Linked DNA regions of Daphnia pulex. The protein of the gene in region 1 interacts with the protein of each later gene in a pairwise test. Links are inferred from orthologs where the notes say so. Each region holds a gene or a part of one and is shown on either strand. Other genes may lie near its edges.

What was found.
Region 2: the proteins of pumilio homolog 2-like (region 1) and brain tumor protein-like interact in a two-hybrid assay, tested with the Drosophila melanogaster proteins (2 studies listed by BioGRID, with this or other methods). The link is inferred for Daphnia pulex from reciprocal best matches to the Drosophila melanogaster genes pum and brat.

What each region holds. Positions count from the first base shown.
Region 1 is NC_060020.1:2,897,208-2,901,025, reverse strand, and holds part of pumilio homolog 2-like, read right to left. Parts: coding exon 3,692-3,818; intron 3,624-3,691; coding exon 3,537-3,623; intron 3,433-3,536; coding exon 1,832-3,432; intron 1,756-1,831; coding exon 1,593-1,755; intron 1,509-1,592; coding exon 1,300-1,508; intron 1,217-1,299; coding exon 1,010-1,216; 3' UTR 1-1,009. UniProt on the Drosophila melanogaster protein: Sequence-specific RNA-binding protein that acts as a post-transcriptional repressor by binding the 3'-UTR of mRNA targets.
Region 2 is NC_060018.1:6,794,443-6,798,883, forward strand, and holds the start of brain tumor protein-like, read right to left. Parts: upstream 3,091-4,441; 5' UTR 2,656-3,090; intron 498-2,655; 5' UTR 406-497; coding exon 142-405; intron 1-141. Other genes in the region: harmonin-like, read right to left, coding at 3,665-3,701, 3,894-4,441. UniProt on the Drosophila melanogaster protein: A NHL-domain family protein that functions as a translational repressor to inhibit cell proliferation.

The DNA.
Region 1 (3,818 bases):
TTTCTCAAGTCAATGAAGGAAGGGAGAAGCAATGAACAAAACAAGGAACAAAAAAAAAATGAAATAAACAAATCGTGGTGAAAGGAGTTGTTTCGTTTTTCTTGATTGGCAACGGCACCTCCAATCTCCCAAACGGAGTGTGTAGCTTGTAGAAATTTACGAAGAAACACAGAAGCAGAGAAAACAAAATCAATAAGCAAGCGCAACTCAGCGTAGACACGAAGTGGGTAAAAAGGAAGTGATCAAATAATGGACCACCAAGATGGCGATCTAAACCGACCCCTTTAAATCTAGCGAATTGAAGTGAACATCTGGGAGAGAGGAAAAGAATCAAACACAGAGCTGTTTTCATTTTCGGTGGATTGATGATTCACAGCCGCGAAACTTATCGACACAATCCATCAAATACCGATCGAGAATCCAAGAGAAACTCGAATGAGACGGTGGAAGAGAAAAGTTATTTCTTCCCCCTTCCGACTTTATAACGTAATATCATGCAGAGTTGGAGGATGGTGAGGGGAGGATGCGGACCAGTCGATTGAATGAGGATAGATGAAGTCGAAAAAAAAAAGGTTTAAAGTAAAAAAATACGAAGGGAAATTTCCTGTACAATGTACACATGTAAGGAAAAAGCTGTACAATGTACACTACCACAACGTATGGTACAAATGGTCAGTTGAGAAATCCAAGAAAGTTTTGAACGTTACTTTTTACCCTTGACAAAACCAGAAAGAACTTGCCCGTTTCCTTTCCCTACCCACAAAAAATTGATTTATATCCGTCAACTTAAAAAAAGAAAAAAAAATTAATAATAACAAAAATGGTGTTGGCTTCCCAATCAAAACAACGCATTTTTATGAGAAGATGGGAGAGGGAGGAAAAAGAGAACCAAAAGTTGAGAATTTTTAAACCAAGATGTGTTTTTTTTTTGTCTTGTTGTTGTTAACTGTCGTAGTTTTTAATAATGTTGTCGTTGGCTGTTTGTAGCGGTGGTGTTGCTGCTTTTGCTTCATCCGATGACTCCATTCGACGGGGGTCCAATAGGTCCCAAATCGACGTTATTCTTGAGGAAATATTTTTCCAGTTTGGCGAGAATGTGTTTGCCGTAAGTATACTTGCGGAGCGTGGAGACGTGCGGTCGGATTTTGTGCATGAGCAGTTTGCGCTGCGACGGCTCGGCCACATCAATCATTTTCTGCACGACGTAGTTGGCATACTGCGAAAGAGAAAAATAAGATAAGACGGTTAGAGCTCTTGAGCTGTCAGCGATGAGATTTCGTCACTAATTCGCACACGAACCTGATCCTTCATCATGGTGTGTAGGGGACTGTGCGGACTCGCGTCGTTGAAGCTGATCACCTCGTCAATGAGACTTGCTCTCTCGGATCGAGTGGCGTGCGAGACGCATTTCTCCACCACGTTGGAGGCGAACTTGTGCTGCGACAACGACAGCACCTTGCCCTTCACGGCTGTGACGATCCGCAATTTGTCCTCGGGCTTGCCGTGTTCTAAAGTTACAAACACCGACATAAAAAAAAAAGAGTGAGTAACGGTGCAACTATGCCTGCATATTAAACTTAGCAGATCCGTACCTAAAACGTGTTGGATCACATAGTTTCCGTATTGATCTTGGATAAGGGTTTCCGTATTGTGATGCAGCTCGTTCAATACTGGAGACGTCTGTTCTGGAGTGCAATGCTCGAGTATGCGTTGAATGACGCGGCATCCGTAAGGATGCGTGGACAGCGAAAGAACCTATTGAAACGAAAAAAAAATTGTAAATTAACATTAATGAAAGGTGTTAACCGTGATATGAAATGTCTCTCTTTACCTGTCCTTCAAATGCGTCTATTATGAATTGAAGCTGCATGGGGTCGACGCATTCGATGCACTTCTGCACCACGTGGTTACCATTCTGATCCTTGACACATTTGAGAACGTGTCCGTCTAGCTCGCGAACGATTTCTTTTTGTTGATCCGATGGCACTGATTCAAGTGCTTTCTGAATGACACGACAGCCGTACATTTGGAGGGCCAATGGCAGAACGTGGCCACGAATCTTCTGTGCCAGTGTACTCTTCTGCTCTGGCGAGCCAAATTCAAAGAATTTTTGAATGACGTAATTGCCAAAGACGTCCGTCATGAGCGCGTACGTGCCGACTATGATCTCAGTGAAGACCATCTGCTTTTCGGCTGGCGTAGCTCGTTCCAATTTCTGCTGAATGAAGCGCGATCCGTGCTGGTCTTGAGAGAACTCTACAATGTGGTTGGCAATGTCGCGCAATTGGAGATTGGGGAAGCGGTTGTTCCGGAAGTCTTCCAGTAGCCTTGATCGTCCCGTCATCTTGTCGAGGCCGACGCCAATGACTCCGTTGTGAGGATGTTGTGGCTGGCGGCCAGCACCTCCCATCTTGGCAAATAGTGAACCGCCCGCCCCCGCTCCAAACAGACCTCCGGCTCCAACGCTGCTGGGCGTGGTAGCTCCGTTGCGGAACTTCATCATCTCTGATCCTGGAGCAGCCGACATGAGCCGCCCGCCAGAAACAAACGGACCTAAACCGAGTTGAAGCCCAGAGGAGGCTCCACTCATGTTAGGCGGCGGAGTCAACGAGCCAGACGATAAGCCTAGCGGGCCAGGAGAAGCAGTGACGGTTCCGAGGGCACCGTAATTTTGGGGCCACTTTCCTCTGCCATATTCACCCAAAGACGGTGAGAAAGTTGACGTTGAATTCCGATCAAAAGAGTCGCGTCTCCCTTGTCCATTCGCAAGGCCTAATGACGGGGAACCAATCGATCCCAAAGCGCTATTACCGAATCCCAGGCTATTGCTTTGCTGCAATCCCAAGGCTCCAAAATTACTTCCCAACCCAGAGTTTGGTTGCATGTTCTGCAGGCCGCCAAGGCCTGGATTGTTGGGACCGTTGTGAGAGTGCGAAGCCGACGGACCCGGGGTGTTGCTGTACAGAGATTGCTGCTGGCCATTATTGTAAAGCGATGGCTGTTGTTGCTGCTGCTGTTGTTGTTGTTGCTGCTGCTGTTGTTGCTGTTGGGCTGCTGCAGACATTTGTTGTCCTTGATTGCCCAACAGTCTCATATTGCCCGAATTTGGACCACTTGGATTTTGCATTACCATTGGAGCGGGCGACATCAAGCGAACGGGACCGTTCATGCCACCATTTCCGATCCCTCTCATGTTACCCATCACCAGTGATCCATTTTGGTCATAATACGCTGGGATGACCTGATATTGACCTGGTTGGTGGACAGGCGGATGATCAGTAAGCGAATTGGGTGACATCGGCCGTCTTGGTTGGCCCTGTTGATGTTGACCGGGTGCTACTTGACCAGGAGCACCAGGCCCTTGCGGGATGACTCCTGGGTACATCCCCCATGGCGCCATGCCATAGTACTGTGGCATCATTGCTGCGTGACCTATCGAAAATATCCATAATTAACAAGAGCTGTCGAAAAAAGGCTTAATCTGTAGCATGACGAGGAAACACTGAACATAGCCACAACAAACACGAATGGCTTACCTGCAATCAAAGTTTGCATGTACGGCTCTTGATTGATAACGTACGGTGCATTTGGGTAAGCTGGGCCACCTGCTGGACCTGCTAGTCCTGAAACAAACAAACGGACTAATTAATTCACCGTATTAGAGCAGAAATGAAGCCACGAAAAGCAATACCAAGTTGTTGTTGCTGAGCTGCTAGAAATTGTTGTTGGGCAAGAAGCTGGACCTGCTGCGGCTGCTGATGTTGTTGCTGTGGCGGCGGTGGAAGCGGAGGTTGTTGCTGTTGTTGTTGTTGCTGCTG
Region 2 (4,441 bases), on another chromosome or scaffold:
GCTTAATACACAAGACTTGTTTTCTACCCCACCAATCCACAATATATTGTTGTCATGTAGAATAAAAGCATTCTAGTATTCAATTACGTCTGATTCCCCAATCGGCTTAGTGTTTGGGCTAGATGGGAAAAAGTAAAATACCTTTAAAGCTGATCCGGAATCCAGATTGCCGCTACTACCCAATCCGTTGAGGTAGAGGCTGAGTGCTGAATTGTGCATCATAGATGAGCACGATGAAAAATTGGTGGAATTCATTCCATTGAAAACGCCACTGTCGCCGTAACCAACCAATGGGCCGAGTCCAAGATCGCGAGCCAAAAGCGGATGCTCGTTGGGATCGGAGAAGGAACCGAGTGGTGATGTGCCGACCGAATCCAACGAGGACGGACTAGGCGAAGATGCCATGGCGAAATTTAAACGATCGCACCAAGAGATTTGTGTTTTATTGAACGACAACAACGATGATGACGACGATCGACACTAGTTGCAAATGGCACCTGGAAAAAGAAAGAAATTGAACTTGTTGCCACTACACATGGAATTGCAAGACCGACTTGGACAAAGAGAACATGATGAAAACACATCTAAAGAAAAGTTTCTAAAAGAGAAAATTCCTCGTCACGCACTTTCTCTCTCGGATCGTGAATGTGGCAAAAATAATACACCTTTTCCTTTTTGGCGTGAACGTGAAAGTAGGCCACTTTTCACCAGTTACTTTCATCCAAAAGATTTGGTTTTTCTTTTGTTGGGTATAAAATTCGAGAAAAATACATTTAATTCAGATAAACTTCCGGTGGTGAATCCGAATCAGTGCGTTTTGTGTTTGAGATCACAGTTCGTTGTGTTGGAGATGTACAAAAGAAGCTTTCCTATTGGCTACCGACAAACCCCTCTTGTTCTCCCCCCTTCTCTCTCTCCCCTGTCTGTACTTTATCCCTCCTTTTCCAAGAGGGGCTGTGTGTGTGTCTGGTTCTTCCACGTTCCCCTTCTCTACCTCAGGTTTCCGATCAATAATCGGGCGGCGTCCCAACTTCAACATGTAGAATGCTGCAGACAGAGGGTGTTGCTATCCGACGACGACGACGACGACTACCACACAGAACGTTACTTTCGATGTTATCGATCTGCTTCAAATAAGATGGCTACTACTGAACACGTGTTGCCTCGTGACGACGCCAAACACAAAAATACATATAAAAAGACTATTTAAAAAAATTAATTCACTCCAATCAAACGGATTAAGGCACGTGTTGCTGCTGACTCATCACGTGACGAACGAGGGAGAATCGATCCAACGAATCTCCATCCAAACTAATAACCCCCAAGCATTTTCCATCTCGGATCAATACACACACACACACACACTGAGCCCCCCCCTCTAAAGCGACGTCAATACTTTTTTCAATGCCCATTTGGAATTTTTGGAACAAACAACGAGATCCCAACGGTTTCAGTTTGGGGTTCTTCTCTACCACCCCCGCTGAACACAAAGAAACCCAGAAATATTCCACCCCTCTGAATCTCAGCTTCCCCATCCCCCACACATGGAAGATGTTTTTGGACACAGACAAAAATGTCTTTTCTCTAAACTTTATTGTGTGTAGTAGACCATCTTTCATATAGATTGAAAGGAGGAGGGGGAACATTCGAGAATGGGTCAAAAAACCCTGAGGAAAAGGGGGGGGGGGGTCAGGAAAAAAAAAGTGAGTACACCCATACCCCCTCTATTCTTTTCTTTCTTTTTGGTAGGCAGCTGCGCCATGTTGGCCGCGCACAACAGCTGTTTCCGTTTCAACCCGGGCTGACCCTCTCTCTCTCTCTCATCGTGACGACACTCTGATTCGTTGAATGTTAAGGGGGACGGTAACCATAGCAACCCACGTGCTCTCCCCCCTTAGTATCACCCTCCGACGCTGACACATCAGGGGTGGGGAGACAAAAGAGGCCATTGCTAAAAAATACAGGGCTGCCCTGTAACACAATCAAAAGTAGTTGGTAGGGAAGATCAGAGGCCCGAGGGGGTTCCTGCTTCCAACATCCTCCATACCGGAAACATGAAAGGGGGGGAGAGAGAAATTCTTTTTTCGGTGAATTCAAAACCCAACAAAAAAAGAGAGGGGAGAAATACGAGAAGTGAACGTACTTTCGTAATCCCTATTATATAACTGGTAGTGACCGAGATAATAAGAAATCTCCCTCTCGAGACAATCAACCCGCATTTTCACCGTTTGAAAAATCGTGACAATAGTCGTGTGTGTGTGTGTGTAAGACTGTCAACCCCACCTTCCCAACACACATTAAGTTGCCTTTCACTCTCTTGTAAAACTGGCCAGATGACCTGCTTTTTCCGCACGCGGGACACCCGCACGGTTTCTCTTTCTGCACGCGGCATTTCCCACCAACTGAAAGTGTGAAGAAGAAAAAGTACCGCTACGTTCGGTTACCACGTGCACGCGCGGGACTTTCACGTTTTCAAACGGCGCGCGTATTCAAAAATTCTACACCTGACCTCAATATATAAAACCGTACTCGAATAACATACCAACAATTTAACCCACCATCTTGCCAGACAAAACACGAGGGCCCCACGAGACAACTGGTTGCTCACACACACATGACAATGCAAGACAAAAATAAATGAGATTTGTGACTTACTGGAAAACTTAAAACGTTGAGACGATGTGTTGAGTAAAAGGCTGAAAAATAACGGCATTGGAGATTCACCACAAAGATGATGCCGTCATGACGTTGGAGCGTGCTTGTTGTGTGTAACAGTTCCTGGCAGCAGCTCTCAGACGAATGGAGCTGCTGACGAAAAGAATCTATCCCCTTTCCTTTCTCCCCTCCTCAACCAAGTGACACACTGCCGCCTGGTGGTGGCCGTGCCATCTGCCGGCTGAATCGCTACAAAACGAACAAAGGCTGCTGCTGCTGCTGTGTGAGTTTCTCTTCCCCTCTTCTCGCTTTCATGCCCTCAAACATTCGTCACCTGGCCATCACTTTATTATTACGAGAATAAAAACGAGAACAACATCGAGTGGCAGATGTTGCGAGACGAGTTGATTCTCTTGACTTTGAATAGTTGAAACAATCGTAAAATTTTATATTTTTCATGACGACGAATCAACAGTGGGTCACCACCACCACCACTGGTCGTGTCGTATTCCATTTGCGTGCGCGCGCTGCCTTCTTTAATACAATTACGTTCAAGATTGGCATGGCTACGGCTAGACGGCGTGACCTATCGATTCACTACTCCATTTGAACCCCCTCATTTTTCAATCCAACCAAGAAGAATGTGTGCACCACTGCAGCTGCCTGTCGCCTATGGCGGCTTTATGGGTGCCATACTTCAATTCCTTACCTGAATGTAGGTACCTGAAAAACGTTGCAACTATTTGTTGTTTACCTTTGTCGTGGAGACCCGACATCTCGACGACGACAACAACAGAAAAATTCTTTTACTTTTGCGGCAGTAGCTACTCTAGTCATCATCATCATTTTTATGATAGATATAGAAAGTTGCCATTGTTGTTGTTGATCTTGTGCTTTCTCTCCGGCTTTCTTTTTCTAGCCAAGTGTAAATGCAAAAAGAAAATATAACCACGCGAAAAATAATGTACACTGGAGGAGATGTATTTTTTCGACGACACACAAAAGAAGATCAGAGTTCGGTCACGGGGACACAGTCGATGTACGTTCTGTCCAAAATAAAATAAAAAGGACGATTAATCTGTAAATAGATATTTATAAACCCCCGAAAACTTTCGATCTCAAACACAAAACATTGAACGTGGAAAGTGTCTAGATAATAAAGTGAAAGCAGGCGTGACTTGGTGTGTGTGTGATTACAAGCCGAGCAATATAACAGTGCTGCTGAATCGTTCTCTTACGTTTGACCAAAGTCCGTTCGGGAAACGTAGGGATGGACTTTGATGGTGACTTTATTATCGGCTGACTGAGAAATCGTTACATCACGGGCCGACCCTCCACCAAGTGAAGTTGTGGAGGCAGCAGCTGCCAACGAAGCCATTTTAGCTTGAATATCTGATGATGGAGCCCGCCTGAATGTCGATAGGACAGGTGGTGGTCGATCGGGAGAGATTTCTTTTAAAACAGGACTCATTTCAGCTGATGGGGGTTTCTTTGTTTCTTCATCAACAAGATCAGAGGAAGGAAGTCGCTGCCTCAAACGGGCTCGAGAAAGTGTTTGATTCAATTCCGTCTGTAACTGGTTCTTGATGGCCCCGTCCAACGACTTTCCTACTCCGCCAGGTGATACACTATGTCTCTTCGGCGGCAAGAAATCCAATTTCGTAGGTTCAGGTCGCAATTCTTGATATGTACCAATCGACACTCGTACAGCTGGCTTAGTTCCTTCCGGTTTGCTGCGTATAGTAGTCGGAGTAGTTCCGTCCTTCTCATCTTGTCCGGATTCATC